Linked DNA regions of Caenorhabditis elegans. The protein of the gene in region 2 purifies or fractionates together with the protein of the main gene of each other region. This does not show direct contact. Each region holds a gene or a part of one and is shown on either strand. Other genes may lie near its edges. The genes, in order: pgm-2, Y48G10A.1, T21H3.1 and agxt-1.

Region 1 (8,423 bases), on a different chromosome or scaffold from region 2:
CCAATCAAATGTGACGATGATACCCGTCTAACAGAAGAAGATGAAGACATTGAAAACGAGGCAATGAACAATGCCACCTTCGTCAAAGATTCGTTCAATTCTGCCACTATTGTGTTGGACGATTCGCAACCGTCTCCTTCCAACTCAACATTCGTGATCGGTGCAGCTCCAACGTCGGAAGCAGACGGTGTTCCTCCCATCAAGCGAAAGAGTCGTCGAACGGATCTTGGACCGCTCTAAATTCCAAGTTTTGTGTGTGAAAAATATTTAACACACCAATGCCTCCTCCTGTCAACTAATGATTAATTAACTTTTACTGTGAATAATAGTATTCGGGTACTAAATTGTGTCGTTTGACCCCCCATTCTGTCTTAAATAGATGATTTTAAATTAAGTAAACCTATTAGGCATTTTTCTTATCCATTTTTTCTCAAAATGCTTCAATAAAATTGAAAGTTTACACACTTTAATGTCTTCGTTTGGTTTTGCGTACAGCTTTTAGAACGTTCAGTAATTTATTGGGGAAATAAATTGAAAAATTAATTATCACAATAGAAGAAGACTACAATATATCGGAATGCAAATAGATTTATAAACATTTTTTGATTCTTATTCAAGACAAAAATTTTTATTTTCTTGGAATCAGTCCAAATTGCTGTGGTCTCAAAAGTGTAGCGACGACATCCTTCTCGAGTTGATCCATCTCAGAAATCACACTTTCCAGATCATTCTGCGTTTTTCCCGGAGCAGTGATGAGTTCAATATAGTACTTGATTTTTGGCTCAGTACCAGATGCTCGGAGAGTAGTGACACTTCCAGTTTTAAGGAAGAAAGTCACCATTTCCGAGGAAGTCGAGAGTGGAAGAACGGGCTTATTGTCGGGCTTTGAGTTGTCGTATCCGATCGTCAAGTCTCTCACGGATGCCACTTCGGCTTCTCCGATTTTCGTCGGGAACTTCAGATCGGCTCTCAATGTGCTGAAGAGCTTCTTGGTGACCTCCGGAGCCGGTACCATCCAATAAGTGGATCTGACCAAATGGAAGCCATATCGATTGTAGAGAGCGTACAGCTGGTCTTGCAACGATTTTCCCTCCGCGTGAAGGAAAGCGGCGATTTCGGCGAAAACTGCGGCAGCGGACACGCCGTCCTTGTCCATGGTATGCCCTGGCATGTATCCGATCGATTCTTCCCACGCCAGAATGACCTGATTTCCATCGGCACGGAGCTCCTCGGCTCGATTTCCCATCCATTTGAATCCGGTCAGGGTGGTCTCGTTTTTGAAGCCTGAATTTTATAGTTTTTTTTTGTTAATTGTAATTTTAATATTTTATATTCTAAACAGGGCTGCTGCTTTTTTTTTGGCAAAAATTACTTAAAATTCTTCAAAAATGTTGATTTTTAGTCGGTAGAACGAAAAAAATTCGAATTTTTTTTTCAACTAAAATCGAAAAACGAAAGTTTTTCTTTCGATTCTCGATTTTTAAAAAAAGTTTTAAAAGAAAATTGTAGGTTTCTTTATGTAGTTTTTCATCAAAATTTACAAAACTTGGATAAAAATTCGAATATTATTGTTAATTTTCTGATTTTTAAAAAATATAATTAGATTTTCCGGAAAATCGAAAATTTTCGTTTTTCAATGTTTTTCAAAAAAAAAACTCGGCTTCTTTTTCGTATTTATCAAAATCTTGCAAGATTGTTTTTAAAAATTAGGAAAAAACTAAAACCATGCGGCGAAATTGCGAAATGGCGTGCCGCGGACACGCAATTCCGCGGTACGCGGTTTTGCAACATTGCCGCACGGTTTAATTTCAGCATTTTTTTGAAAAAATTGTATCTTTTTCATCAAAAAGCAAATTTTTCTCTTTCGAAATTAAATTTCACCTTCTGCATCAGCAATTGTCTTGACAATTTGTGAGGACACAGCACTATTCAGAATGTATACTTTTGATGCATCAGCATTCGGATTCGCTTTTCTCCAGTTTGTCCAAATCCACCAAGTGATGAGAGCGCCCATCTCATTACCAGTGAACACACGCCATTCGCCGCTGAAAATTGAATTTTTTTGAAAATAAAATTTTTTAAAATATATATTTTGGAAATTCAAAAAACTTACTCTTTCTGCTTCTCGGCCATTTGAATTCTGTCGGCGTCTGGATCGTTGGCTAAAATAACTGTCGATCCATTTTTATCGGCAGTTTCCATCGCCAGCGTGAGCACTTTTCGTCCTTCTTCTGGATTTGGGAATGGAATTGTTGGAAAATCTGGGTTTGGATCTTGTTGCTCGGCCACCGAAATGAACGATGAAGCTGGGAATCCAAATTCGGCGAACATTCGTTTTGTGTAGTGATAGCCGATTCCATGGAACGCGGAATACGTGAATTTCAGCGGAGTTGAGCCATTGATTTCTCTGAAAATATTATTGGATTTACCTTTTTTTAAACGATTTTTTAAAATTTCTACAAACCTAGTGAAGTTCAACGATTTCTCAACTTCAAAATACGGGTCAATTACAACATCAGCTGAATGGAAAAGTGGCGAAGATTTGAGTTCACTCAAGTCCCAGTACTCATCTCTCGGCTGTGGCTCGGCCTCTTTGATTCTAACAATTTCCGTGTCATGTGGTCCAATGATCTGCAAAAAAAACCTTTTCTTTTTTAATCTTAAAAAGAATTAAATCTTAAATATTGATCTATTTACCTGAGCTCCATTGCTCCAGTACGCCTTATATCCATTGTCTTCCTTTGGATTATGTGATGCAGTAATAATAAGTCCAGCATCACATCCCAGCTTAATCGTTGCCCACGAGACAACAGGAGTTGGAGAGACTTCAGAGAAAAGATAAACTGGAATATTGTTACGAACAAAGACGTTCGCCGAGAGCTCTGCGAAACGTCGACTGTTGTAACGTCCATCAAATCCGATGGCGACTCCGTTCTTCGGTTGTCCATAGACGTTCAGCATGTGTCGAGCGAATCCGTGCGTGATTTGGATGATTGTAAGATCGTTGAGGCGTCCAAATCCAGCTTGCATTGGAGAACGGACACCTGGAAAAAATACGTTTATATTTTGAGCTGTACTTTTGAATCTCTACTGTTCTCCTGTTAATATCACCCAGCTTCTTCAGAGTGTAGACAGTGGAGAGACGCAGAGATGTGGGGACCGTGTGATACGGGAACACAAATCTTTGAGAATGCGCATTGCGCAAAATATCTCGTAGCGAAAACTACAGTAATTCTTTAAACTAGTGTAGCGCTTGTGTAGATTTATGGGCTCACTTGGTGTCTGGCTGTCCCAATATAGCTTGATCTACAAAAAATGCGGGAATTTTTTACCAGAAAAATGTGGCGCCAGCACGCTCTTAACCATGCGAATTCGGCTAAGAACTCTGCGTCTCTTCTCCCGCATTTTTTGTAGATCAAAGCGAAATGGGACTTTCTGACTCCACGTGTGGGCTCGGTTTTCGAGAATAAATGTTTTTCGAATAGCGACAGATACAGATTGTTTCGAAAATTGACTACAGTAGCCATTAAAAGAATTATTGTAGCTTTCGCTATGAGATATTTTGCGCGTCAAATAAGTTGCGCAATATGCATTCCCGTAATAATGAAGATTCACACTCTGTAAATCTACACAATTTCGGGTCTTCCTCCCTTTGTCCCAATATAGCTGCGTTTCTTCCACCGTTTACACACTGCAGCTGTGTAATATTATTTTCTTCTCACCAGCAGTTCCAAAAACCAATCGAGTATCCATACGAGCTTTCAATGCATCAACGTTCTTCTCATCAACCAGCTTTTGAATTTCATTACGATTCTTATCATTCTTATCCCAAGCGAGCCAATCGGCAACTTGCTTGTCAAGCTTTGCACATCCAAGAGTCATTCTGAAAATTAGAAAGTGCTTAAATTTTGCAATAAAATTGTGGAAAAGACAACAAAAGTTTTAAAAAATCGAAATTTTGCAGATAAGGACACTAATACCACAATTATTCCGACATGTGTGGATGAGAAAAGGCCAGGTAAATGACCTTGCCGTTTCTCTATTTCTCTGCGAGTAACCCACTATCCCTAGATTTGGAAAAGAGATAAAATCAACAATAATTGATGGAGGTATTGTGGAAACTGTGAAAAAGACAGTATCGGGTTTCAGTAAATATTTAATTTTCGAATTTAGGTGAATGTTGAATGCAAAAAGAATTAACAAAAACGTCCAAAAAATATTTCTAGGCACAAAAACCGTTGAAAATTACATAAGTTAGATAAGTGGAATGTTTAATTCTTGCAGAAACCGATCAGCATGAAAAATCTGAAAATTAAACAGAAGATTGATAAAATACTTAAACATCAAAAAAAAATCGGTGATAATGTTCTCGGTTTTCAGTTTTCAGATGATGATAACAAATAATAATACACGCTTTGATAAGAAATCATTCGGAAAAAAAATGATCGGCGAGAAAAAATAGAGAAAAATATCGTTAGAAATAGGTTTTCTCGAGTTGTGATGGAAGACGTTCGGTAGTTTTCGATGAGATGAAGGCGCGAACTTCTTCAGGCGATGGAACGTAGTCGTCGACATTCATCTCACTCAGCTTTACCCATTGGTTCACGAAGAGTGCTGAAAATCAATTTTATTTCATTTTTGACTCTTTTTGATTTTTTCCCAACATTTCCAGGATCTCAGTGTTCCATCCAAGCTCGTCGACGAGATGACTGATCCCATGAGATTATATCGAAGCCTCCATGCTTTTCGATGATCCCCGAGCAGTGCCACCTTGATCAGATTGTAATCCGCCAGCTGAATCGGATTCTCGACACCGTCTTCTTCGAGAATCGCCGAACGAGCCACTTTGATGTTGTAGACGTGAACATCGCCTGATGCAACGGCTAATTGATGCGAATCCACCATCGATATCGGCGAGAATCTGAACATTTTAAATATTATAGTTAAAATAGCGGAAATTTTTTTTTGAAATTTTCAGACAAAAAATTGATAAAATAGCGGATTTTTCAAGAAAATTCGATTTTTTTTGAAATTTTTAGACAAAAATTATTAAAATAGCGAATTTTTCAAGAAAATTCCAATAATTTTTGGAATTTTCAGACAAAAAATTGATAAAACTGCGGACTTTTCCAGAAAATTCAATTTTTTTTGTTGGAATTTTTAGACAAAAAATTGTTAAAATAGCGGATTTTTCAAGAAAATTTTAAATATTTTTTGAATTTTGTTAAAATAGCGGAATTTTCAGAACATTTCAATTATTTTTAAAATTTTCAGGCAAAAAATTGATAAAATTGCGGATTTTTCAAGAAAATACGATTGTTTTTGAAATTTTTAGACACAAATCCGATAAATATCGGATTTTAGAAAATTCGATTATTTTTTGGAATTTCTAGACAAAAAATTATTCAAAGAGCGGATTTTTTAATACTGAAAAATCTGCTATTTTCAATGGAAAGGCAAGCGCGCTGTAATAATTATTCGGCTCCGAGGAGAGCGTGTTCTTCCTACTTCAAATCAGTAATCGGGCATGGTAGATCGAAGACTAATGAGTTGATTCGCTGCCATTTCCTCAATCCATCAATATTCTCATAGATCACAACTCGTTTCTTGTTCTCTGCCTTCTTCTCATCCGAACCAACAGCAATCAACGGGCGGTGCATACGAGAAAGTGACCATGTGACACATCCACATCGGGTATGAAACGCTTGAAGCTCGTGAATAAGATTCCATCGAGAAGCGTCCACAATATCCGGTGCTTCGTAGATTCTGACGGTTCCGAGAACGTTGCATGATGCCATCATGAGACCCAGATGGCGCGGGGAGAAGCAGATATCGGTGACGTCTGAACGATTATCGGAGATGATTGTTCTTCGGATCCATTGGGATTCTTTTTGCTCTGAGAGATACATAATGTTTTGGATTATATTTAGAGCGAATTATACTCACTCAGATCTTTCTCTGATCTCACAATTTGCTCCTCCCAAATTACAATCGTTCTGTCGTAGGAGCAGGTGCTGAAAATCAATCAATAAAGTATATTCGGGTGACAGTTTCTAGTTTCTTACGCAACAATCTGCCCAAATTCCGGATGAGCCCAAATAACGCGCCAAACTGCTCCACCATGACACTGAAATGAGGAAAATTATTTTATTTTCTGAAATTTCTTTTCTACCTTCCAGTGTGCAGATCTACGCCAATTTCCGTCTGGCTTTCGATCCCAAATCGCCATTGTCATATCGCTGGCACATGTTGCCATTCGTCGGCCATGAGGATCGAATGAAACCTGGAAATAAAAATCTTCAGTTTTTATCTAATTTTTCGAAATCAAGCCAACATACACAATGAATGAGATCTCTGTGAGCGCCGACGGTCTGAAAAGGTTTCACCGAGTCGTCTTCTTGCATTTTTCTGAAAATTAATAAATATTTATAGTGAATATTAGAGAAAAATAAGAGAAAAAGAAGAAAAATCGTTGCGTAGAAACAAAAAAATAGATTCAAAATTTAAAGGCGCAGGCACTTTCGCCGGTGGAAGGTCTCGCTAGGAGCGAGTGGTGTAGTCCTCTCGGACAAACGAGAAGATGCGGTAAATGTAAAATTTTTAAATTTAATGTTGGCCTAAATTAATTGCGGCACAATGAATTGATACATTTTAAAGACTTTTCATCCAAATTTTGTTTAATTAATTGTTAGAAATTGCTAAACTGTTCTATTCTAATCGAGGGGGTACGTTTTCGTAAGGGGATTTTTTCGTAAGGAACGCTTTCAGTAGGGCAATGTGCTGCGCGCCTTTTCGCAAGCCCGCCGCACAGTCCTTCGCAATGCGCCGCACGGCTTTTTGCAATGCGCCGCACGCTTCTTCGTATTTATTTATTTCTTTTTCCAACAGGAAATTTCGAACGGAATTCAATTAAAAACGGATTTTTAATGGAAATTAATTAGTTTTATTCGAGCTAAATACGGATATTTTCAGAATTTTCGATGACAAAAACGGGTTGCAATCGATTTCGAATCGATCAAAATTAATATTAATCGAAAATGAGCATTTCCTTCCCGGAAAAAGAAGAACTTGATGCTGAGAGTGATCCAAGCGGAGCCAAACGCTTTTTTAGAGGCAAGTATTGATGTCTAAAGATTAATTGAAGAGTGAAAAGTATTTTTCAGCGTTCGACAGGGATCTAAAGAAGAAAAGAAATCCGAAAGCGTCTACTACAAATGTATGTGAATCGACTCCTGCAACAATCGATCTGGTTACTCCACCTGCATCACCACGTCGGTCTGATTCGTATATGCAGTTTCCTTCAAATTCTCGAGAGCTCGATGAGCCGAGATCCACTGACGATATCCCGGAATGCGATTCAATAGCCAATTCTACTCAGGAAACAAGCTTGGATACAACAGATTCCATGGCAAATACTGAAAGATTTTTTGATTTTGATCCAGCTGTATTTCCCGAAGAAATGGATCACGATCTACAGGAAACCAGTGAATTCAATCTTCTGTGTAGGTCTTAACTAATAATTAAATAGAAATAACAGACGTTGTATTTTTAGGTCACAATTCATATCAATCTCCGTTTGAAGACGAAGAGACTCCATACCATCCGGATTGGTTTTTGACAAATAGGTTGTTATTAATCAATAACTCTATCAAAATATAAAATTCCAGCAAGTCACACGTGTTACGTTCTCTGATGCACTATAGACCGATTGCCAATAGCCCAAGAGGGTGCTTGAAATGGCACCGGAATATATCAGCGAGAATAGTTCAGATTTTTGGTATGCCTTCTAACTTCTAAAACAATTAAACATAGAAACTATGCAATTTCAGTATTTCGACGAAACGAGGAGCTCCATTGGTCATTTTCAACAATCAAAGCTATCGTCCGAGAGAAACACTGAAAAATGGGGACATTGTGGCTAGGTGAATTATCGCTAGGAAAAAATTTTATTTTTTGTCACACATTTCATTAATTTATTTCAGATGTAACGTTACACTGGAAAACTCGAGAAAGTGCCCCGGATCCGTGCGTATCAAGACTGAGACAGGCCATGTGAAAGTCAGTCGTGATTGTGATCACGAATCGAGGAGAAGCGAAATTGCAGTATACTGAAATTTACGTTTTTCAAAACTAAATTTATATTTTAGGTGCAATTAATTATGAGAAAAATCGCAGTTTCATCAATGTCTTCTTCACCATCAAAAGAACGCCTTTATGAGCTTGCTGTTACACTTTCAAAAAGATATGAAGTTGTTGAACTTCTCAAGAGCAACGTAAATAATAAATCGTGGAATCAATAAAACATATACTTTTTCCAGAAAGAAATCAGTCGCATACTGGACGGTATGCTGAGTAGGAAATCGACGAATAGTTTTCCACCAGCCCTCGATTCTGCCTATTTTAAAGGAGGAAAATGTTGTTTA
Region 2 (6,296 bases):
TAACGGTTCGGACGATTTTGAACATATAGACCCAAAATGAGCTCAAATGAAGGAATTTCGCAATGAAACTGCTCAAAAATTTTTTATGGCGGTTCAAAATTTTGAAAAAAAATTACACTGATTTTAGCTAAAATCACGAATTTTTCTCTTTTTTTCGTGCCACATCCATCCGAAGTTGTCTTTTTTGGAATTACCGTCCTTTATTACATATATTGGTAGTTTATCTCATTTAATTTCGTCGATTAAAGTACATTTATCGGCGATAGGTAACCAAAAATCATCGAAATTGGTTACCTATCGGCTTTGAATGTACTTTAATCGACGAAATTAAATGAGATAAAATACCAATATATGCAATAAAGTACGATAATTCCAAAAAAAGCTAACTTCGGATGGACGTGACACGGAAAAATGGGAAAAAATCGTGATTTTAGCTAAAATCAGTGTAATTTTATCAAAATTTTGAACCCCCATAAAAAATTTTTGAAAAATTTTTGAGCAGTATCATTACGAAATTCGTTTATTTGAGCTCATTTTGAGTCTATACGTTCAAAATCGTCCGAACCGTTAGTCCTCCTTTAAAGGTGTACTCCACTCTGTGGGGAAATTGCTTTAAAACACGCATATGGGGTCACAATGACCGAATATCATGATTAAAATATTCAAAAAATTTCTCTAGATTTTATATGATTTTTTGAAAATTCGGAAAAAAGCCCGTACCGCGAGCTTATCGGCCTTAAGCAAATAGGCCTTGTGATGAGCATGATCTCCAAGAAAAGCACACGCTCCACACAAAACTCTCTCTTTTCTGTAGAAAAGTGTCGGAGACTTGACGGATTCCTTCTGCTTCAACGCGTAACCGCATCCCGGATAGGTGCACGCGAAGAATTGGCTGTGCGGAGCCACTTGCAAGCACATTGAGCACGTTGCGATGGTATCCGAGTACGCCGAGCACTCTTCAACGGGATTTTCGTCCACACTTTCTTGATAATTTGTGATATCCGGCAGACTCGACGTTTCGCCGTCCGGCATTCGCTCGAAATTCTCGATTGTGTGAGAGTTTCGCACTGAAAATCGTGAATTTCATATTAATTTTATCATTTTTCATCGGAAAAACTTACTCATTGTACAAATTTGATCCGTTAGTTGATCGATTATTTCCTGAAACTACATTTTTCGTGAGATTTTTAGGTAAAAATTGAATAAAAACGCTGAAAATAATTTTTAAAGTCGATTTTATCGGGAAAAAACCAAGAAAAACTCTGAAAATCGGCGGAAAAACAAGAAAAAATGGGAAAATTAATTAATTCGAAAATTTTAAACTTAGCAAGCCGTTCTCTGCGTCTTCACTCTCTCGCGCGTGCCAATGGAGCGCGTTTGCACTATTTTTTTTTTAATTTGAGGGGGTACGTTTTCGTAAGGGGATTTTTTCGTAAGGAACGCTTTCAGTAGGGTAATGTGCGGCGCGCCTTTTCGCAAGCCCGCCGCACAGTCCTTCGCAATGCGCCGCACGGCTTTTTGCAATGCGCCGCACGCTTCTTCGTATTTATTTATTTTTCCAACAGGAAATTTCGAACGGAATTCAATTAAAAACGGATTTTTAATGGAAATTAATTAGTTTTATTCGAGCTAAATACGGATATTTTCAGAATTTTCGATGACAAAAACGGGTTTCAATCGATTTCGAATCGATCAAAATTAATATTAATCGAAAATGAGCGTTTCCTTCCCGGAAAAAGAAGAACTTGATGCTGAGAGTGATCCAGGCGGAGCCAAACGATTAAAATGATAGAAGTGATTTTTTATTCAGTCGAAATGGAAAATAAAACTGCAAACAAAAGTTAATTCGATTAAATTAAGTAAGAAAAATCATGGCGAAATTTGGATAACCTGAGTATGGAAAATTGTTTCTATAATCCAATGGCACAGAGGTAAACAAAGAGATCAGTGATAGCATTTCGGAATTTCCATAAAAGGGAAAAGTTTCTCATTAAAAGCACTGAAACCGGTATAATTCAAAAACACTGAAGTACAGAAATCGGGGTTTTTGTATAATGGCACAGCGGTTGTTCGATTTCCGGATCGTCTCTTCAAGTCTAGGATCAATGATTTTGATAGTTGAATGGTCTTTTGAATCACTCCTCGCAGGTTTTGATAGTCGTTGTGATGATACATTCTCTGGAAAACAAAACAAATCGATGTTATATACCTATTTGAGAACTTAAAAAACTACAAAAAGAAACTTGCCTTCAGCTTGGAAAATTGCTGCTCACTCGGGTTGTTTGTGAACGCTGAAAAATACTTTTCACTCTTCAATTAATCTTTAGACATCAATAATACTTGCCTCTAAAAAAGCGTTTGGCTCCGCTTGGATCACTCTCAGCATCAAGTTCTTCTTTTTTCCGGGAAGGAAACGCTCATTTTCGATTAATATTAATTTTGATCGATTCGAAATCGATTGAAACCCGTTTTTGTCATCGAAAATTCTGAAAATATCCGTATTTAGCTCGAATAAAACTATTTAATTTCCATTAAAAATCCGTTTTTAATTGAATTCCGTTCGAAATTTCCTGTTGGAAAAATAAATAAATAAATACGAAGAAGCGTGCGGCGCATTGCAAAAAGCCGTGCGGCGCATTGCGAAGGACTGTGCGGCGGGCTTGCGAAAAGGCGCGCCGCACATTGCCCTACTGAAAGCGTTCCTTACGAAAAAATCCCCTTACGAAAACGTACCCCCTCTTTAATTTCGCGAAAAATAGTTTTTTGCCGAAAATAGAGTTAATTAGGCTAAAAAGCTGTTTTACAATCAATTTTGTTAAAGAAAAACCGCAAAAAACCTGAAAATTGACGAAAAAAAGCCAAAAAAAAAAAAAATTTTGCTTTTTAGTTCTACGCAGGAAAAGTGCGGCGATGGGTTTAAAACTAGAGAAATATTAGAAATCGTTAAATTTAATAGTAGAAAATTACAAAAAACCTAGATTTTCTGTGGAAAATACACGAAAAACAACGAAAAACTTTGGGAATTAAATTAAAAATTCGAAATCTAGCAAATCGTTCTCTACGTCTCCACTCTCTACCGCGTGGCGATGGAGCGCGTTTGCTTTTTACTGATTTTAATTAATTTTAATTAATTGAATTTCAGCGTATTTTCGCTGAATTTCTAGTGTTTTCCCGATAAAAACAAATCGAAATTCAACGTTTCCACTAATTTCAAGCTTTTTTCCTCTATTTTCAGGAAGTATACGCAAAAATCTGTATTTTTCTCTGACGCCTCACTCGGCAATTTTCCACAATTTCTTATCAATTTTGTCTCTTGAACAGTCAAAAAATATCGATTTTTCAGAGAAAATGGCTGCCACTTTGGTTTCGAGCAATAGAAGCTTCAAAGGACGGCAATTTGTGTACAAACATGCCAGGTTTGATGAAAAAAATTGAGAAAAAATATATAAATTTAAAAATTTAAATTATTTTCAGCTCGACAACTCAATGTGAAATGACATTTGGAGTGTATATTCCGGATCACAAGCCAGACGAGAAGCTTCCAGCGCTTTTTTACCTTTCCGGCCTCACCTGCACCCACGCGAATTTCATGGAAAAGTCGGGATTCCAGCAATTTGCCTCTAAGCACCGTCTCGTCGTTGTTCACCCGGATACATCGCCACGTGGAGTCGATGTGGACGGCGATTCGGAAAGTTGGGATTTCGGAAAGGGAGCCGGATTTTATGTGAATGCTACTGTCGAGAAATGGGCGAAAAACTATCGAATGTACGATTATATTGTGAAGGAGCTGTTGGAAGAGGTGGTGCCCTCCGTTGCGCCGATTGATTTGGCGAAAATTGGTGAGAAATTCGAGAATTCTCTGTGAAAATCGACAGATTCAAGTTGGTTGAGGCTCAGAGACTACAAACTACACAACTTGGGAAGCCTCACTCAAATTTGCCAGGCGCAGTGCTATGAAAAATGTCGAAAAACTGAACAAATTCGGAGTTTTTCGACTAAAATTCTTATTTTTTCGCTCAAAAACTTCAATTTTCATGGTTGAGGCTGATGAATTTTTGTAGTTTGTAGTGTGAGCCTCAACCAAAATCCGGAATTTTTTGGTGAGGCTCATGTATTTTTGTAGTTTGTAGTGTGCGCCTCAACCAAGAATCGACCATTTTTGGTGAGGCTAATGAATTTTGTAGTTTGTAGTTAATAGCCTCAACCAAGAATCGGAACTTTTTTGGTGAGGCTGATAAATTTTGTAGTTTGTAGTGTGAATTTCAACCTAAATTTACTTGAAATTCATGTTTTTAAACTAAAATTCCAATTTTTCAATAATTATTAATGATTTTTACAAAAAAAAAACTTTTAAAAAAAATCACAAATTTCACACAAATTGAAAAAAAAACCAATTTTTCAGGAATCTTCGGTCACTCAATGGGCGGCCACGGAGCTCTAACAATCGGTCTCAGGAATTCATCGAAATTTCAATCAATTTCCGCATTTGCACCAATTTGCAACCCAATCACCGTTCCATGGGGCCAAAAAGCACTAACCGGATACCTGGGTGACGAGGACAAATCCACGTGGAATCAATATGACGCTTCTGAAGTACTAAAAGCCTATTCCGGCCCGAAACGCGAGATTCTCGTCGATCAAGGTGCGGCCGACAATTTCCTGGCTCAACTCAAACCAGAAACGCTGAAATCGAAGGAAAACGCGGAGATTGTGGTCAGAATGCAAGCGGAATTCGATCATTCGTATTATTTTATCGCAAGCTTCATGGCTGATCATTTCGAACATCATGCAAAGATTTTGAATAAGATTTAATTGAGGAAATATATTTATTTATATTTATTTTATTTTCGTCACTTATTTAAATTTATTTAAATTTCAATGTTTTTACACTTTTTCAAGAAAAATTTCAGATTTTGTTCGAGTTAAATATTGGTCTTATGTTATTTTAACTCCCAACATTCGTGTAATAAATAAATTATTTTTAGACGCAGACAGGTTAAGTGTCTTAACACAGTACAGTGTAGTCTTCGGAAACGGAATGAGGACGATGATAATGATAAAATAATTGATGTTTTCTATTTTTTGTTCATATTGTGTGTATTTTTTTAATTCTAAATTAATACTATTAGTAAGAAAATTTTAATGAACAAAAAATATTTATTAGAACAAGAAAACAAATTAAAAATTGAGAAAAAGTGGCAAATGCTGCGGTTTTTTTTGGAAAAATACACGTAAAGCGTCACAAAATAAAATAAAAAATATATTTACAAGTTTGAATTTTCTAGAAAATTTTTAGGAAAAAGCGAGAGAAAACCGGAATTTTCGAGGTTTCAATTGGAGGGAAATGGCTCCCGGGAGCAAGAAAAGTGGGCGGGGTTTGATTAGTAAGGATTTTGAAAGAAAATTAAATTTTTAATACAAAAAAAATTTTTTTGGAAAATTTTTTAAAAATTCAAAACAAAATTTTTTTTTTCGAAAAATGTAATTTTTCCAAAATTTGTTTGAGACTTTTTATAAAGCAAGCTAAACAGGTTTTAATTGATTTTTCAACACCAAATGATCGGCGCCACGTATTGGAAGTGGATGACGTCGGTAGAATGAGATGGCAGAGCTTATCGATCGGAATAGGGGACCTTCTCCTGTAAGAATAGGGGAATTTTTAGGAGACATTTTAGTTTTTTTTTGGACCAAATATTGGAGAATATGGTTTAAAAAAAGAGTTTTGTAAAAAAATTCTGAAAAAAAAAATGTTTTGAAAAAAAATTATTTTTTCAAAATTTCCAAAAAAAAATTTTTTTTTCTGAAAATTTTTCTAATTTATAAAAAAATCCTCTTAAATGTTCCTGTACCTTTAAAATAGTCAAAACAATTTTCAAAAAATTGTAGTTTGTAGTGTAAGAGCCTCAACCAATTTTATTCGGCATTTTAATGCATTAATTAATTAATTAATTATGACGAATAAAATTGGACGTTTTTTTTTTTCAAAATTCTATGATTTTTTTGAAATTTTTGAAATTTCACGGTTGAATTCTGAGGTAGATTACAAGTTTTTCGAATTTTTCATTTCAAAATCTGATTTTCCGTTGAAGCTCTCAGTGCAAACTATAATTATATGGAAGTATACTGGAGTATACATATTAGGTTTTTCGTAGAGTTACAGAATTTTGAAGTCTAAATTTGAAGGATTATGATGAAAAGTGATATATATTGTATTGTTATTCTTTAAAAAATGTTTAAAAAATTTTCTCAAATTTTTCAAAAAAAAAAAACTTTTTTTTTGAAAAATTCGAAAAAAA
Region 3 (7,085 bases), on a different chromosome or scaffold from region 2:
TTGGGACCAGGTTGTCAACGCTGGTCGCGAAGTCCATGTTCCCGGTACGTGGTTGGCCGAATGTGACGAGGAGAAGCTGATCAGCCGATACGAGACTGGTATATCGGAGATATGTGGCAGCAAGGGAGGCTAGAGCTCCACCAAGAGAGTGGCCGGTGACCTGAAAATTGTCAGCGTCAGGCTGTCCCATCTCGGTTTGATCTACGTTGATCTACAAAAAGTGCGGGAGAAGAGACGCACAGTTCTCAACTGATTTCGCATGGTTAAGAACGTAGTGACGTCACATTTTCTGTGGAAGAAATTCCCGCATTTTTAGTAGATCAAATTGTAATGGGCCTGTGTACTCATGAGATGTCAGGCTGTCCCATTTCGGCTTGATCTACGCTGATCTACAAAAATTGCGGGAATTCAGACGCAGATTTCTCAACTGAATCACATGGTTAAGAACGTGCTGACGTCACATATTTTTGGGCAAAAAATTCCCGCATTTTTGGCAGATCAAACTGTAATGGGACAGCATGTTTATTGATCTCCAAGAAATGCGGAAGTCGGAATACGAAATTCGCTTTGAGACGCTAGTAGAACTCTTGCGTGTTTATCAGGAGTGTCCGGCAAATTTGGAAAATTTGCCGCACTCCCCAGGTGTAAATTTCCCGTTATTCTCGGAAATCGAACGTGCGAGGCTAACGAACCCAAACTTGATAACTTGGGTATCTAGACATCAGACTGATGACGTCATCTTTCATTCCAGAAGTCCATATTTTGAAAAACGCATCGCTGAAGTATTCGGAGACGTGCCCACCGGAAACCCAGGATTTCTGAAAATTTGACCTAGACAGAGCTTTTGCATAAACTAACTTACATTGTTTGCAAACACAGTTTCTACGGCTTCAACGAGCAGCTGTGCGTTACGATTAGTTCCACGAAAAGCTACCAAAATCGCCTGACTTTCGTGATCGACTCCAGTAAATCCAGAACATGTATCATCAAGTGTGTCGCAAGCTACAGTAATCTGAGGTTTGACTTGAAAATTTTGAAACGCCAAGCTCATGCAACTTTGTGGAGGAGAAGCGTACGCGGAGATGGCTGCATAGATCAGTTTATTCCGAGAGAGCTGATCGGAATATGGTATTGAACTGTGGGAGAATGATTTGCAAATTAAAACGGAGAAAATAAAAAGCATTTTGAATGTCAAATACATTAAATACAATTGTAATTGAAAATTTGCAAACTTAAATAGCTCTGTGAAAAGTGAAAAAAGTTCTGGTTGCAAGTGTGACTTTGTTGTTTGATTTTGGGATTACTGTTGCTCCGAGGCAATTTGTCATTTAACTTTGCTTGGAAATATGACGAACATCACGTCATCTTCAGATTGCTGTCACATTTGTTATCAAGGGAATTACTAGCTATTTATGCTCCGACGCCTGCCTCAAACCTGTACGGAAAAGGGGTGTGCGGCAAATCTCAAAACTTGCCGTGCTCGCCAAATTTTGCAAATCTCTTCTTCCAATATTTGCCGAGCACGGCAAATTCGGCAAATTTGCCGTGCTTAATTAACTCCGAAAATTTGATATTTTTTGATGTTTTTTGGAGCACCGAAACTACTGAATTCTGAATAAAAATCTGGTGTCTGAATAACTTCCGTGTAGTGTGTCTGCTTAAGCATCAAAATAACAACTCAATTTTATGCCATTTTACTAAATTTTTGGGGACAAAATCAATAGTTTTGGCCAAAATTGTATTGTTAAAAAATTTTTGATGTGTGCGGAAAATTTCGAAATTTATCGTGCTCGGCAAATTCGGCAAATCTACTGTTTTGAAATTTGCCGAGCTCGGCGAATTCGGTAAATTCGGCAAATTTGCCGCACATTCCTGGTGCGGACCTCTGCGAACATATGGGAGGCAGGCGCGTAGGCAGGCCCACCACTTCAACTCTGAACCACTGAATCAGTTGTGAACTATTTTATTGTTTAAAACATTGAAAAGTTAGTTCTTGACATTAGCACAATTTGAGTAGCCCAAGTCGCTGACATCAACGTCGAAGTAGTGAAGATGATCCTAAAAAAATAAAAGTATTGGTGAAGTAAAGAACTTTGGACGATTTATACCTTGATAGAAGTGTCTGGAAGAACTTGTCCGTTGGAGCAGAATTCGCTCTCATCGATATCATCGCAAATGTTGTACTTCGTCATTTTCTCCTTGTAGAACACCTCGGCCTTGTGGTGGGTGAATCCTTGCATGTTCTCCTTTGGAAGATGTGGCACCGGGTCGTGGGCGTGGGTGACGCGGAACTTGTTCGTGACGTCACGATCGACGGCGGCCGCGTAGGCCTTGTCTCCGACACGTGGCTGTCCGTAGGTGACGAGTTGAAGCTTCGAGGCGTCGAAGAGCTTGTTGTAGGTGATGTAGGAGGCGGCAAGGGAGGCCATCGCTCCTCCGAGGGAGTGTCCGGTGACCTGAAGTTTTGTAAGTACACGACTTTCCCACGCGTTGTCCGGCGGGCGGTTGTCAATGGAGCGCGAAAAATTCAATGAGGAAGGCCAGAATCCCATGATTTTGAGCCTTGGGAGACGAAAATAAATTTGCAACGGACAATGTTCGAGACCGCGTTTTCTTATGTGGACCACCTTGGGTGCTACACTAAACAGTATTCCGGGAAATGATAGGACTACTTTCAAGAAACCATTGTCACCACGGGATCATCACATGGATCCACAAGGATCTTTTATCCACTGGTTGGGTCCTGCTCATGCGCCAACAAGAATGACACGTGGAGTCAGAAAGTCCCATTTTGCTTTGATCTTCAAAAAATGCGGGAGAGGAGACGCAAACATCTCATCGGATTCCGCATGTTCAAGAGCGTGCTGATGTCACAATTTTTCTGGGAAAAATTCCCGCATTTTTTGTAGATCAAAGCGCAATGAGACAGCCTGACACCACGTGGAATGGGTTTTAAGTTTCTATAACATTTTTGTGGTTCGAGGTTGACCACTGACATTCCCGCGTTTCTGATCTGGACTTCTTATTTTATTTTAAAAAAAAATTTAACGAAGCATTATTGTTACACCTATCAGGCATCAAGGCTTGCGCGACGTACTGTGTAGCTGCACTGCAGCCCACGTGGTGTCAGAGTGTCTCATATCGGCTTGTTCTACGTAGATCTACAGAAAATGCGGGAGAAGAGACGCAGAGTTCTCAACTGATTTCGAATGGTTAAGAACGTGTCGATGTCACATTTTTCTGGGCGAAAATTTCCCGCATTTTTTGTAGATCAAACCCTAATGAGACAGCCTGGGACCACGTGCAGCCGACTTCGATCGAGATCTCAACCAACCCAGCTCATGTCGTCTGCGTCTTCCTGGGGGGTATACTCACTTATATCACAAGTGTAGGAATACACTGTAGAAATGCAACAACCACTTGCTTCATGAACTCGCAAAGTATATTTTGCTAGACTACGATAGCTGTCAACAACACGGGAGCACAGTCTACTTTAACCCCATCAATAATCATTTTCTTATCAGTTTTTACGAATTCTTACCCAAACTTGGAATCCTGGGTTTTGGGCGGCAAGAGTGTTAAAATCGTCCTTGAGTCCGGCGTTCCAGATGTTCAAAAATCCGTCGTTGAAGTACTGGGAGACGACACCTCCAGCAGCCCATGGAGTCTGAAACATGCTTCATTTATTCCGGAGTACTCGAAATTTTAATCTTACGTGATACTCGAAGACAGTCTCCAATCCTTCCAAAATAAGCTGCACATTGTTGTTAGTTCCACGGAACACCACAATAATCGCCTTGTCCTGTGGACTGACGGCGGTGTATCCGACGCATTTGTCGGCTGGGTTGACGTCACAGCGAGCCGTAATGATTCTCCTGATTGAGGCACCGGTGAACGCTTTGTCGAGGCACTGTTGTGGATTCGATCCGTAGGCGGCGCCGGCTGCGAAGAGAATCTTCTTGCGAGCAGTGGCGTCGTTGTATGGGATGGTATAGACGTCGAGGTTCTCTGGATTTTTTGGGGCTTCTGGTAGCACAAAGGCCGAAGCCAGTGGCAGAAGGACTGCAGCAAGCAGTAAGGCTTGCATACTGAAAGAATAATTTAAAGTTAACAAATGAGATGGAAGTTGGAAAATCGTTTTAAAACGTGACACATCTTATTCAGAAACACGTGACGTCACCGAAGTGAAGCCTGTGTGACGTCACTTCGAAACTTAATTTGCCGCAAATTTCGAATTAACATTTAAAACATGATTACTGGGAGAAAAGGTGGGAAAATGACGATACTCTGCTATTCGATTTCTCTTTATTAACTTTCCGTTTTCTTATCACCAATTCCGTTTCAAATATCACACAACCTATAAAAAAGTCGTTGATATGAATGATACCGCTTAACTTGTGCTCTTTTATCAAATTTTCAATCGAACCGGATTACGCAAGTAGTTTAAATGGTCGTTTGATTCCTCGAACCACAAACTAACACTGTAGGAGATGAACAAAGTTCTTGATACTTGAATGTTCAGTGGTGTTAAAAAAAATTCTACACGGGGTTCTGGCCTTCCTCGTTGAATTTTTTGCGCTCCATTGACAATCGCCAACGCGTGGGAATTCCTGTACTCCACACGGACAAATGCATTTAGTTTCACAACTAAAATCGAGCCGCGACACGCAACGCGCCGTAAATCTACCCAAGATATGGCCGAGCCAAAATGGCCTAGTTCGGCAATTTCTTCCATTTCAATTTATGAGGGAAGCCGAAAATCCGTGAATTCTACCTGAAAAATCAAATAATCAAATTTCCGAATGAAATGTTTTTGAAAGGCTGATATTTGATTTGATCAGCAAACTTTAAGAAAATTAAATTTCCAAAAAATGTTGTCAAGCCAACTTTATCCCCGCTTACCTTAAAATTGGAGTTGCACAGGTGGGTTTTTTTTAAATTCTAAATGATAGAATACAGTCTCAATATAACAAATATAACTGTCAAAAAATGTATAAAAATTTTTTAAATTTTTAATGATTTTTTTAAAATTCGAACAGGAAATATAATTTTTTTTTTGAATTCCCGCGCAAGTGAATGACGTCATTTTTTGACACTTTTTGGGAATATTGACTGCTTTTTCTTTACTTTTTCTTTGTTTCATAATTTGACGCATAATTTGTCAAAATTTTCAGACATTTTTCCCAAAAAAACACGTTTTTTTAATGCTAAATTATTGATTTTAGGCCAATTTTGGAGTTTCAGCAAATTTTTTTCATTTGCTGCGCCGAAAAATGTCTGAAAAACATTGTAAAAAATATTGAAAAATTTTTGAAAAATATTGAAAAAATCAAATTTATTGCCCAAAAATGCAAAAATGCCAAAAATGACGTCATTCATTTGTGCGGGAATTCAAAAATAATTCAGCTCTTTTTTTCAAAATTTATAAAATCATGAAAAAATTAGAAATTTTTTGTAAATTTTTTTCATAGTTTTAATTGATATATTAAGACTGTTTTTCGACCATTTAGGGCAAAATTAGCGCAAACGCTACCCATGGCGTCAGGCTGTCCCATCAGGGTTTGATCTACAAAAATGCGGGATTTTTTGCCCAGGAAAATGTGACGTCAGCATACTCTCAACCATGCGAAATCAGTTGAAAAATCTCCGTCTCTTCTCCCGCATTTTTCGTAGATCAAACTAAAATGGGACACTTTGACACCACGTGACGCTAGTCAACCTTTAAAGACAAATCTTCAACAAATTTTATTTTCATCAGTAAGTCACCTGAAGATTGATTTTTTGTGAGTTTTTATTCAGAAAATTTTTAGTTTTTTCTGCAATGACAACTGATTTGCAAATTCTTTTTAACTAATTTATCACAAAAGAAAACTGGGAATGAGACAGACGTCAATGAAGTCGAGCACCCGTAGTTGAGACTTGATAGGAAAACAATGTGGAGAAAAAAAACAACACTAATAAATTACAATTTTGGATCACAATTTTTTTTGGCACATATTAACCGGATCCCCGTTCCTGTGGTAAGGTTCTCAGTTCTGTTGAGTTGCCTGTAAAAATTGTAATTTTTAAATCGAATTCATGTATTACTTTTGACTCTTACTTTTGACTAGAGCTGTCTCACTGTTTCCACTTGAAAAACTGGAAGCCTGTGAAATTTCTCCGAGTTTTTCAGGTTTTTCCGGCTGTATTGAGTCGCCACCAAATAAACGAGATAAGTCGCCAGACTGAAAAAAAAGGTTATAGTCTGACAGTTGATATCTCGATTCAAATCAGTTATTCGAGTAAATTTCAATCGAGAGTTTTTTGATAATTTCTCAAATTTTTCAAAAGATTATAGATAACTCAAAAACCAGAAATGCTATCAAAATATGTTTAACTAATTAAAAAAAATCACGACAAAAATAAAGCGCCAGGAATCTTGTGAGTCCATTCTGGACGATTGGAACTAATGGGCCAGAGGTGAGCAATCGCCTTTTTCCGGCAAGTCGGCAAGTCGGTAAGTTGCCGGAATTGAAACTTCCGGCGATTCGACAAACCGGCAAATAGGCATAGTTTCAGGTGTTGCCGTCTTATATAAATTCTCTCTAAAAACTTCCGGCAAGTTTATGTTCGGCAAACGGCAAATCGGCAAATTGTTGGAAAATTGGCAAATCGGCAATTTGCTGATTTGCCGAATTAGTCGACAAAAAAATTGACGAACGACAATTGTCACCAACCCCTGAATACACTAACTCAATAACCAGATGATTAATCGAAATTTGATAAAAATCCAATATAGTGTTTGGCAAATTTGCCGATTTTGCCGTTTGCCGAATTCGGCAAAAAATGGACAATTCAATTTTTACTAAAACTAATAATTTTGTTCCAAAAAATCTGAACTCACAAGATGTCGGCCGCTTTATTTTTTGCCACATCTTCTGTGAATAATTCAAACACGCAAAACCATAGTGTCAGTTGAACATTCTTTGATAGCAGACGTGTTCGGCAAATTTTTAGATTTGCCGCACACACGTGGTGTCAGAAAGTCTCATCGCGGTTTGATCTACAAAAAATGTGACGTCAGCACACTCTTAACCATGCGAAAC
Region 4 (8,384 bases), on a different chromosome or scaffold from region 2:
CAACCCAATTCCTTTGGAAGCAACCGGAAATGTTCAATCCAAATTTTATTCAACACCATCTTGAACTCTACATCAAACCACAATATCGCATTGGACCATATCTTATTGGAATTCTTCTTGGTTATCAATTGGCTAGATATCAACGAATTCCTGTGAAACCACAGCAAAGCAACAAATATATCAGTGAGTTTGAATTTATTTTTAGCTGTTAAAACAAATGTTCATCTTTCATGAACCAATATATTTTTTTAAATTAAAAACTAATTATTTTATTTTAAAAAAATTCTAAGCCTTCTTAATTCCAGTTTCAATGTGGTCAGTGGCACTTGTGGGAATCCTTTTCGGTTTGTACGGTCTCTACCCAGCTCTTCAAGGATGGGATTCAATTGCCTGGAGAGCATATCACTTGCTCTATGGAGCACTCCATCGTGACATTTTCTCAATTGGTATTGCATTCCTTATCTACATCTGTCATACTGGAATTGGTGGACCTGTCAATGTCTTCCTCTCCTCCAATTTCTTCTTACCATTGGCCAACTTGAGTTTCTCGGTTAGTTTTCAAATTTCTAATGTTAAAATAGGATTACTCTCATTCTTAAACTTCAAATTAAATCTTTCATAGAACCTTACTTCCTTGTATCACTACAATGTTTACGTTTAATTATTTTATTTTGATAGAATAGGAAGTGTTTTAATGTTTTGTTTTGATGAAGAGAAATACTTGGTTATTAGAAAAACCAAATTATTTTACAGTTTATTCAACCTGAAATCTTTCAAATTACAAGTACCACTTTGACAAATGAATGAAAATATGTGCTTCGAAAATTGAAAAGGCAAAATATTGGCTTTATAAAAATAAAATATTTTCAGGCCTACTTGTTCCACATGATTCCAGTGGTACTCACTTACATGCTCGTTCCCTTCCCAATATATTTCAATACTCAAATTCCACTCTTCATTCATTGTTTTGTTCAACTTCTCATTACATATTTCTTTGCCATAATATGCACAATGGTCAGTGAACTTCCAGCTCTGAATATCGAAAGGTTATTGCTTGCCTCTCCACCAAAAACTACACTCAAACCGAGTCCACCAACAGATTCGGAAATTCAATTAAAGCCTTCCGATAAGGCTTAATTTCTAATTGTTTTAATTTTTGACTCAAAAATTCATTTTCATCAGGCACGGGACATTTGAGGTAAATAGTGGGTGATCATTTCCTTGTCAACCCGAATTCATTACGAGTAGTCTCATTCATTTCTTAAATTGTTTCATTTCATTCCGCCATTCACTTTTTCATTTGTTAGCTCCTCTTTCATTTGCTTTACATTTCTTTTAGATTAGTTGAAATTTTTCTGTTCTTCTTTCTTGATGGTCTTTCAGTAATTGATTATTCCCCCGGTCATCGACTGTTTTTCCTTCGCTTCTTCTATTTTTATCATGTAAATAGAAATTCTTGTTTTTTGTTCATTCAAATTAAAACCCATAAAAACATTAAATAAATTTAAAATGTTCATACAAAACGCATACGAAATTACAATAAATCATAAATTAGCATGAAATCACAAATTGATGGATCTACGACTGATGGATCTACTTGCTGAAAATATAAATAATTTGATAAGGAAACGGATCAATTAAATTTTTGACCTTTTCTCTCCAATTGATTTCGACAAAAGTTCCACAACATTTTCGATTTTTGTCGAATTCGAGTTAATTCCAAACGTTCCGATTCTCCAGATTTTACCAACAGTTGCACCAAGTCCTCCAGCAATCTAAAATTAAAACAAGTTACGGTTTTCAAACTTCAAATTGGTGGATTTTCGAATTTACCTCCGTTCCATTTGTCATCATTTTTCCAGCAACATCTTTCCAGTCAACACCCTCCGGTACTTTCACAGTAGTCAAACATGGCAATCTCAATTTCTCATCCACTACAAATGGTTCCAATCCATGCTTTTTCAGAGTAGCATACAACACTTGAGCATTATCTTTATGTCTTTGGATTGATTCATCAATTCCTTCTTTTGCAATTGCAGAAAGTGCTGCACGAAGAGCATATACAGTGGAGATTGGAGCAGTGTGGTGATATCTGAAATTTTTCAATAAATTTCATCATTTCATAGTTTTTTCCAACCTTTTCAATTCTCCATCACAACCCCAATAGTTGCCCAATTCGATGGCATCAAAGTAGAACGAGGCGACGCGTTGTTTTCGGTTCCGGATTTTTTCCCTAAAAATGAAGAGGAATGCAACTATATGTGTTTTGTTTCTTATTCTTACATGGCTCGATCGGAGAATGAGATAGGCGCAAGTCCTGGTGGAGCGTTGAGAACTTTCTGGGTTGCCGAATAGACACAATCAACTTTCAGATCATCTGCTGCAAATGGAGTTCCACCGAGGGACGCCACCTGAAAATGAAAACTTTGATCATTAAACATCTATTTTCAATTTTGAGACTCGTTCGGCAAATTTCAATTTTACTACATTAAAAAACACCTTAAACTTTTCAGAAACAAAACCGTTAATTTTTGAAACATTGTAAGATTTATAAATAAATGGTGAGGATCGAGAAAGTTAAAAAAAACCACAAACCGTATCAACAAGGAACAGAGCACCATGCTCTCTGCAAGCATCTCCAATTGTTTCCAATGGTTGAGCAACTCCCGTTGAACTATCTCCCTGACAGACAAAAACCAAATTTGGTTTGTAATCAGCAATTGCCTTTCTGATATCCTCAACTGGAACTGCTTGCCCCTGCGGAGCAGTAATCTTCTTAACTTCGATTCCCATTCTATCAATTTTTAATTTGTAACAAGAATATTGATTTTAAAAACCTATTAGCCAAATCAGCAGCTCTTTGTCCCCAAAGTCCAATTTCTACTACAAGGAATTTGTCCCCGGGCTCGAGAAGATTAACCATCGCGCATTCCATTCCAGAATGACCTGAATATTAGATTTGATATTGAGAAAGTTGATATATGCACACTAACCAGTTCCACTGACAGCAAACGTATACTTATTGTCGGTTTTGAAGACATACTGAAGACCCAGACGAACATCTGCCATAATCTGAAATTAAAGCTTTATGAATTAGTTTTCGATTTACTATTTTTCCAACAAAACATAAAAAGATACCTGAACAAATTCTGGATGCAAGTGTCCTAACAAATTGCGAGATTGGGTCTCAGCAATCGAATCAGCCATGTTCGATGGTCCTGGTCCAAAAAGTTGCCGCGGTGGGACAACCATATCTTGCAGAAGAGCTTTTGGTGGAGCACGAGACGACATTGATGACTGGAAAAAAAGTAAAATACATAAATACTCGAAGAACATGGTAATCGATTTGGAAGTGATAATTTGAGAATATAATAACTAAAAGGTCGTTCAACACGTGGTTCTCAAAACAAATGTTATTAAAAACAAAACATTAACGAAAAACTGATCTTAAATTTAACTAAAATGTTTTCCATTTCGCAGTACTGACATGGAACTAATATGAAATGCGCTCTATTTGCATGTAGAATGGAGTAGAGACACAGAGAAACCAATTGGTCAAGAGGAGATTGAACGGTGTGTCCAAATGGTCAAGAATTGGTTTGATGTCTAGGGGAGAAGGGTTGAAGGGTCGAATGCCAAACGGCATACTAGATGGTTAGAAATTTTCCATAAATCAAAGTGGGTTTTTTTTTCACCAAATACTGTAAAAATCAAGTACATGATTTTAGAGTTTGAACTCGAAAGACATAATTTTCATGCTGTTAGATAATTTTTTTTAAGGAAAAAACCTTCAAAAACTTTTTTTAATGAACAATGGCATATAAATATAAAATAATTGCAGTAACTAAAAAGATTGTATCAATGAACAGTTTCATCAATGATAACACATATGTTGATGTATGATGACAATAAACTCTCAGAGGCGGTTCCAATTTGTGTACTCAATAAACCTATTATTTTTGAACCAATTGAACTCACCTTAATTCCAAATCCAAAAATCGAGACTGAAGGTCTTAGAAATCGCGTTGAAATCATATCTTCGAAATTAAATCAATTGAGGAAGAATATTGAGGTAGAGAAGAAAACTTGAGGAGGTTGTCCTGCAGGCGGCAAATATCTCTGTGACTCCTCAAAGTACATTGTTCTTTCATTTTCACTGACTGACTGACTGACTGAGGGGCTATTTTATCACAATGTATAAATGACCAGTCGATGGTATAAATGATAACGAGAAGACACCCAGAGATCGGTCAATTTTTAGAGAAGAGTTCAAAGAAACACTTGAAAGTGCACTGGGGAAAACCTCGTGGTTATTTTATAGTTTATGGAAATTGAGTGGAAAACAACACTTTTTTGCAATTTGGTTTGAGCATAATTTTTATGGATAGTTCATTGGCACATTTCCGTTAATCTAGAAAATAACGTTTCAAGATTTAGGAGATCATCCGAAAAAAACTAGTGGAATTTTTTAAATACACAGTTTAAAAATCAGTTAAAATTTTAATAAAGTGCGAACAATAAGCTATAATGGGAACTAAAGTGGTCTAATCAATGACGTGGAATTAGTCAGATGGCTACAAAAAAACATTAAAACATTTTTCAAAATTGTCTACCAAATAATGAAACTAGAAAATTTAAGGACTACCAACTTATCTTACTCAAAACAATACAAATCGAGAAAGATTACCAACTTCAAGAGAGTTTAATTTGAACTTTACCTCGAACAACGAGCAGATCCAGAGAAGTTTAGACTTCGGAATAAATTTTTTTTCTAGTTTCATTTCCATGAAAATAGCATTTCACGTCTACAGAAATTGATACGATGAATAAATTTAGAAATTAATATTTAAAAGTTCATTGGTTTGTGTTAACTTTGGAAAAATAATAAAGCTTTGAGATATTAACTTCTGAACATTTTCAAATTTAGCTTCTACATCTTATTCCTTGAATTTCGCCTAGCTTCGTCTGAAATCTCCTCACATTTTTCTTTACCCAAATCTATAAATGAGTTTTTCAGCCAATTCACTTGTATGCCTGGAGATACCTTGAGAATTCGGAAAGTACTGATTCGTGAAGAACACTTTCCAGATCACACGAGTTTATTGCACATTTTGAAATGTTTTGAACAATTGCACATTTTATTGATAAAAATAAGAAAACTGCTCAGGTTTTTCGAAATCGAGTTGGATTCAATTACAGGTCAACTCAAATTTGTGATGTCTCGTGATCTTTGAAGCTCTCCGGTTTCAGTGTCTGTTTTTGCTGTGAACACTATCTTTCTCTATCTTTTTTTTCTTCAGCTTCATCCTTTGAGCTTTTTCGTCTTCATTTCTTCATCTCCTCCCTCGCTTTTAACTTCTCACACTGGATCACAAGCGTGCCCTTCGATCCCGATCCTCTTGGCCGAATATCTTTACACACCGACTTGATGTCTGCGTCTCACCAATCATTTTGAATGTTTCGAGAGGATAGAGATAGTTGCTCATCGCCCGGGAGTCACAGCTGCCTCTTCCTGCTTCTCCTCCACCTCCTCTACATTCCAAAGCAAAAAGAGTTTGTATTATTGAAGAATCATGTTGTTTCTGCATCATTCTAGATCACTCGTCATATCTAACCACACTTTCAAACTTTCTTGCCCAACGCAAACCATTTTGAAAATGTGTTTCATTTGTTTGCCGAACAAAAATGCATCTAAAGAGCTGCCCCTACCTCTTGATGGATCATGCGAAAAAAAGGCGGGACGTTCAAACTGTTGACTCTTTTCTTTTTTCGTTTATCTTATCTCTCTCTCGTGTTGCTCTTTGTCTCATCTTATTGTAAATTGATTTTCGAAAAATTTCAGATATTCTAATCACATTTTCCAACATTTCAATGGTCGCTGCCACAGAAATGGATGGAGAATCTATAGTTGATATTAAAGTAAGGCATAATTGTAATGATAAAAAACGAGATTTAGAAATTTAAGTTTTTGATTGTGAAAATGAGTAATGAGTAATGAAATTAGGCATTGGAAAATATACTAAATTTTTGCAGTAGTTGCCTACTTAAAACGGCTTTCACACCAAAATTTCTTCAGAAAAGATTTTATAGAATTCGTTTTGTTTTCCAGCATGATCAAATTGAAGATGACGAGACAGAAGAAAAAGAACCTCCTGTAATGAAGTTGGATTTCGAAAAACTATTCAAAATGGCAGAAGATCCAGATCTTGAGGAATTGCTAAGATCACCATTGGATCAGGCTCTAATCAATTTAGAGTAAGATTTATTAATTAAAAAATCAAAATTGATTTTTCGACATTTTGTAAAAAAGGAAATCGTTCATACCATAAAATTTTCAGAGACGGAACTGAAATTCAAAAGCTCACATCAATTCGCACATTTCCTGACATTCTGGACACCTCCGACGGAGAAAAGTGCCTTCTAAAAATGCTACCAGCAATTCAAAAATGTTTGAAAATTGAAAAATCAAACCTAGACCTTCACTGTGAAGCTGCAGTTGTCTATAAGTCAATTATTCAAAATGAGGACCTCGTGAAAAAATTTCAGTGAGTATTAAAACATTCCACTACTTTAAAATAACAAGCTTTCTAGGGGAATCGTTGATCTTCTACTCGAGAATATTCTTCAAAATATTCAAAATCAAAAAGAGCATCGTAAGTATTTTCCAAGTATCGTATGTACATGTTTTTCCACCTTTCCCCTTCTATCCTCTATCCTAACCATTTCCAGACACTCAGGAAAAGGAAAAAATTGTTATAAAAGCTGGCAGTAGCATCAACAATCAAATGCATCATTGTATGTATTCTCAACTAACAATTTATTTGTTTTTAATAATACCTTTACCTTTTTACCTAATACTCTTTTGAATTACCATTTTAGACATTGACAAAACTATAAAAATTATAACATTAACAACTAAAAAAAACTTGCGCACTAAATAAATTATGTGTAAATTTTAAATTCATATTTTTCAGTGAGTGCCGCTGCTTGGTTAGAAACAATTGTTGAAGTTGCAGACAAATTGTCACTAAGCTCAATCAAATTATATGTAAGCATAAATATTAGATATCCCCTTCATTTAATTTTCAGGTGGTTCCTGTAATTCAAACACAAGCAGAACCTGTTCAGAGGGTACAAAGACGAATTATTGCCACTAAGATTATTCACAAGTTGGCATTGTTTTTACCTCCGAACGAGTGAGTTTGTTATTTGAAATTGTTTCATTTCGCTCTCATAATAGTCCTAACCTACCGGCTTTCTAAAATATATTTAACTTACAAAAAATGTAACTAGGCAATGAACGAATTAAAACATTTTAAGAATAAGAAAAGAACTGTGCCCAATTGTTACCACCTTGTGCAAAGATGCCAATTCAAATGTGAGAGTAGCAGTTGCTCAACGACTTTTTGTCATTGCAAATGCTCTTAAGTAAGTTGTTGGGGTTTTTTGTTTTAGTGTAAAATCATTTAACTTTCAGAAACTCGCACGATGTTGTGTCCTGTCTTTTGCCTTCATATGTACATTTATTAAATGATGAAGAAATGAATGTGAGAGAAGCTGCAATGAATAGTTTGACTGATGCATTCTCCTTGTTCACAAGAGGTTTTGTCAGAAAATAATCATTTCAATTATAATTCAAATTCAAATTCAGATGCACGAAAGCACACACTCTTCTCTGTTATCAAAAAGTTAACCGAAGAGGCGCTTGAGAAAAAGAATGAAGGTCTCGCAGTGATATCGAACAACTTTGGAAAATGGTCATGGGAGCTCAATGAGCTTCTCGATCAACTTGACAAATCATGGGTTCTGAATACATACTGCAAAATGGTGCAAATATCAGACGAACTATGTGAAGGCCCACAAAAGAATATTCGTAACGTATTGAAGAAGACGTGTTGTTTCAATTATCCATGTATGCTGACTATGTTCAAAAAACACGTGGATCGATTACTTCCATTTTTAGAGATGTTCTGTACAGATCATGGTGAGTTATTTGTCCGTGTGGTCGGAGTGTCATTACCCAATTAATATAATGAATATGCTGTCTTTTTATTTTTTGCAATAAAATTAAAAATAACAATTTTCAGATGAAGAAGTTCGAGTGAGCATTGCTTCTTCCTACCATGAGGTTTTAACCATGTTCCCTGATAAACCAGATCTAATACCACCGTTCATCGAACTTCTTCATGGAGGATCTTCCGATGTCATTGCTAAAATATCTCACAATCTATCAAAAATTCTGCCGATTTTGTATGAAAATGTGAAAGAAAATCCAGGGGTAAAACTTTCCATCTGAAAATTTATATTTTCTTTGTTTTTCAGAGAACAACTGTTCAACAAGTGGACCGACTTCTGTTAGGATGCAATCAAATTTTAAGAACTTC

Evidence for each region.
Region 1: the proteins of Y48G10A.1 (region 2) and pgm-2 fractionate together in Caenorhabditis elegans (co-fractionation; one large-scale study listed by BioGRID). This does not show direct contact.
Region 3: the proteins of Y48G10A.1 (region 2) and T21H3.1 fractionate together in Caenorhabditis elegans (co-fractionation; one large-scale study listed by BioGRID). This does not show direct contact.
Region 4: the proteins of Y48G10A.1 (region 2) and agxt-1 fractionate together in Caenorhabditis elegans (co-fractionation; one large-scale study listed by BioGRID). This does not show direct contact.

Annotation. Positions count from the first base shown.
Region 1 is NC_003281.10:13,294,838-13,303,260, reverse strand, and holds pgm-2 (Phosphoglucomutase-2), read right to left. Parts: upstream 3,884-8,423; 5' UTR 3,883-3,883; coding exon 3,723-3,882; intron 3,045-3,722; coding exon 2,698-3,044; intron 2,632-2,697; coding exon 2,465-2,631; intron 2,408-2,464; coding exon 2,114-2,407; intron 2,046-2,113; coding exon 1,882-2,045; intron 1,285-1,881; coding exon 629-1,284; 3' UTR 501-628; downstream 1-500. Other genes in the region: Kinesin-like protein klp-19, read left to right, coding at 1-240; npp-18 (Nucleoporin SEH1), read right to left, coding at 4,475-4,614, 4,665-4,921, 5,509-5,896, 5,947-6,014, 6,066-6,127, 6,173-6,283, 6,339-6,404.
Region 2 is NC_003279.8:13,486,244-13,492,539, forward strand, and holds Y48G10A.1 (S-formylglutathione hydrolase), read left to right. Parts: upstream 1-3,343; 5' UTR 3,344-3,348; coding exon 3,349-3,416; intron 3,417-3,474; coding exon 3,475-3,839; intron 3,840-4,402; coding exon 4,403-4,812; 3' UTR 4,813-4,877; downstream 4,878-6,296. Other genes in the region: Y48G10A.2 (E3 ubiquitin-protein ligase UBR7), read right to left, coding at 721-1,067, 1,122-1,125; Protein soem-1, read right to left, coding at 5,524-5,639.
Region 3 is NC_003283.11:1,173,727-1,180,811, reverse strand, and holds T21H3.1 (Fungal lipase-type domain-containing protein), read right to left. Parts: upstream 4,089-7,085; 5' UTR 4,088-4,088; coding exon 3,716-4,087; intron 3,668-3,715; coding exon 3,542-3,667; intron 2,457-3,541; coding exon 2,109-2,456; intron 2,059-2,108; coding exon 1,987-2,058; 3' UTR 1,948-1,986; downstream 1-1,947. Other genes in the region: F25A2.1 (Fungal lipase-type domain-containing protein), read right to left, coding at 1-160, 693-818, 863-1,183; ptr-16 (SSD domain-containing protein), read right to left, coding at 5,998-6,047, 6,101-6,224.
Region 4 is NC_003280.10:8,841,974-8,850,357, reverse strand, and holds agxt-1 (Alanine--glyoxylate aminotransferase), read right to left. Parts: upstream 4,761-8,384; 5' UTR 4,719-4,760; intron 4,129-4,718; 5' UTR 4,036-4,128; coding exon 3,979-4,035; intron 3,298-3,978; coding exon 3,139-3,297; intron 3,073-3,138; coding exon 2,994-3,072; intron 2,947-2,993; coding exon 2,838-2,946; intron 2,795-2,837; coding exon 2,596-2,794; intron 2,412-2,595; coding exon 2,284-2,411; intron 2,234-2,283; coding exon 2,138-2,233; intron 2,093-2,137; coding exon 1,834-2,092; intron 1,776-1,833; coding exon 1,651-1,775; intron 1,601-1,650; coding exon 1,594-1,600; 3' UTR 1,456-1,593; downstream 1-1,455. Other genes in the region: oac-46 (Acyltransferase 3 domain-containing protein), read left to right, coding at 1-183, 306-550, 871-1,137; F46C5.6 (Serine/threonine-protein phosphatase 4 regulatory subunit 4), read left to right, coding at 5,872-5,919, 6,110-6,255, 6,339-6,545, 6,592-6,653, 6,730-6,795, 6,975-7,048, 7,090-7,196, 7,321-7,428 and 4 more.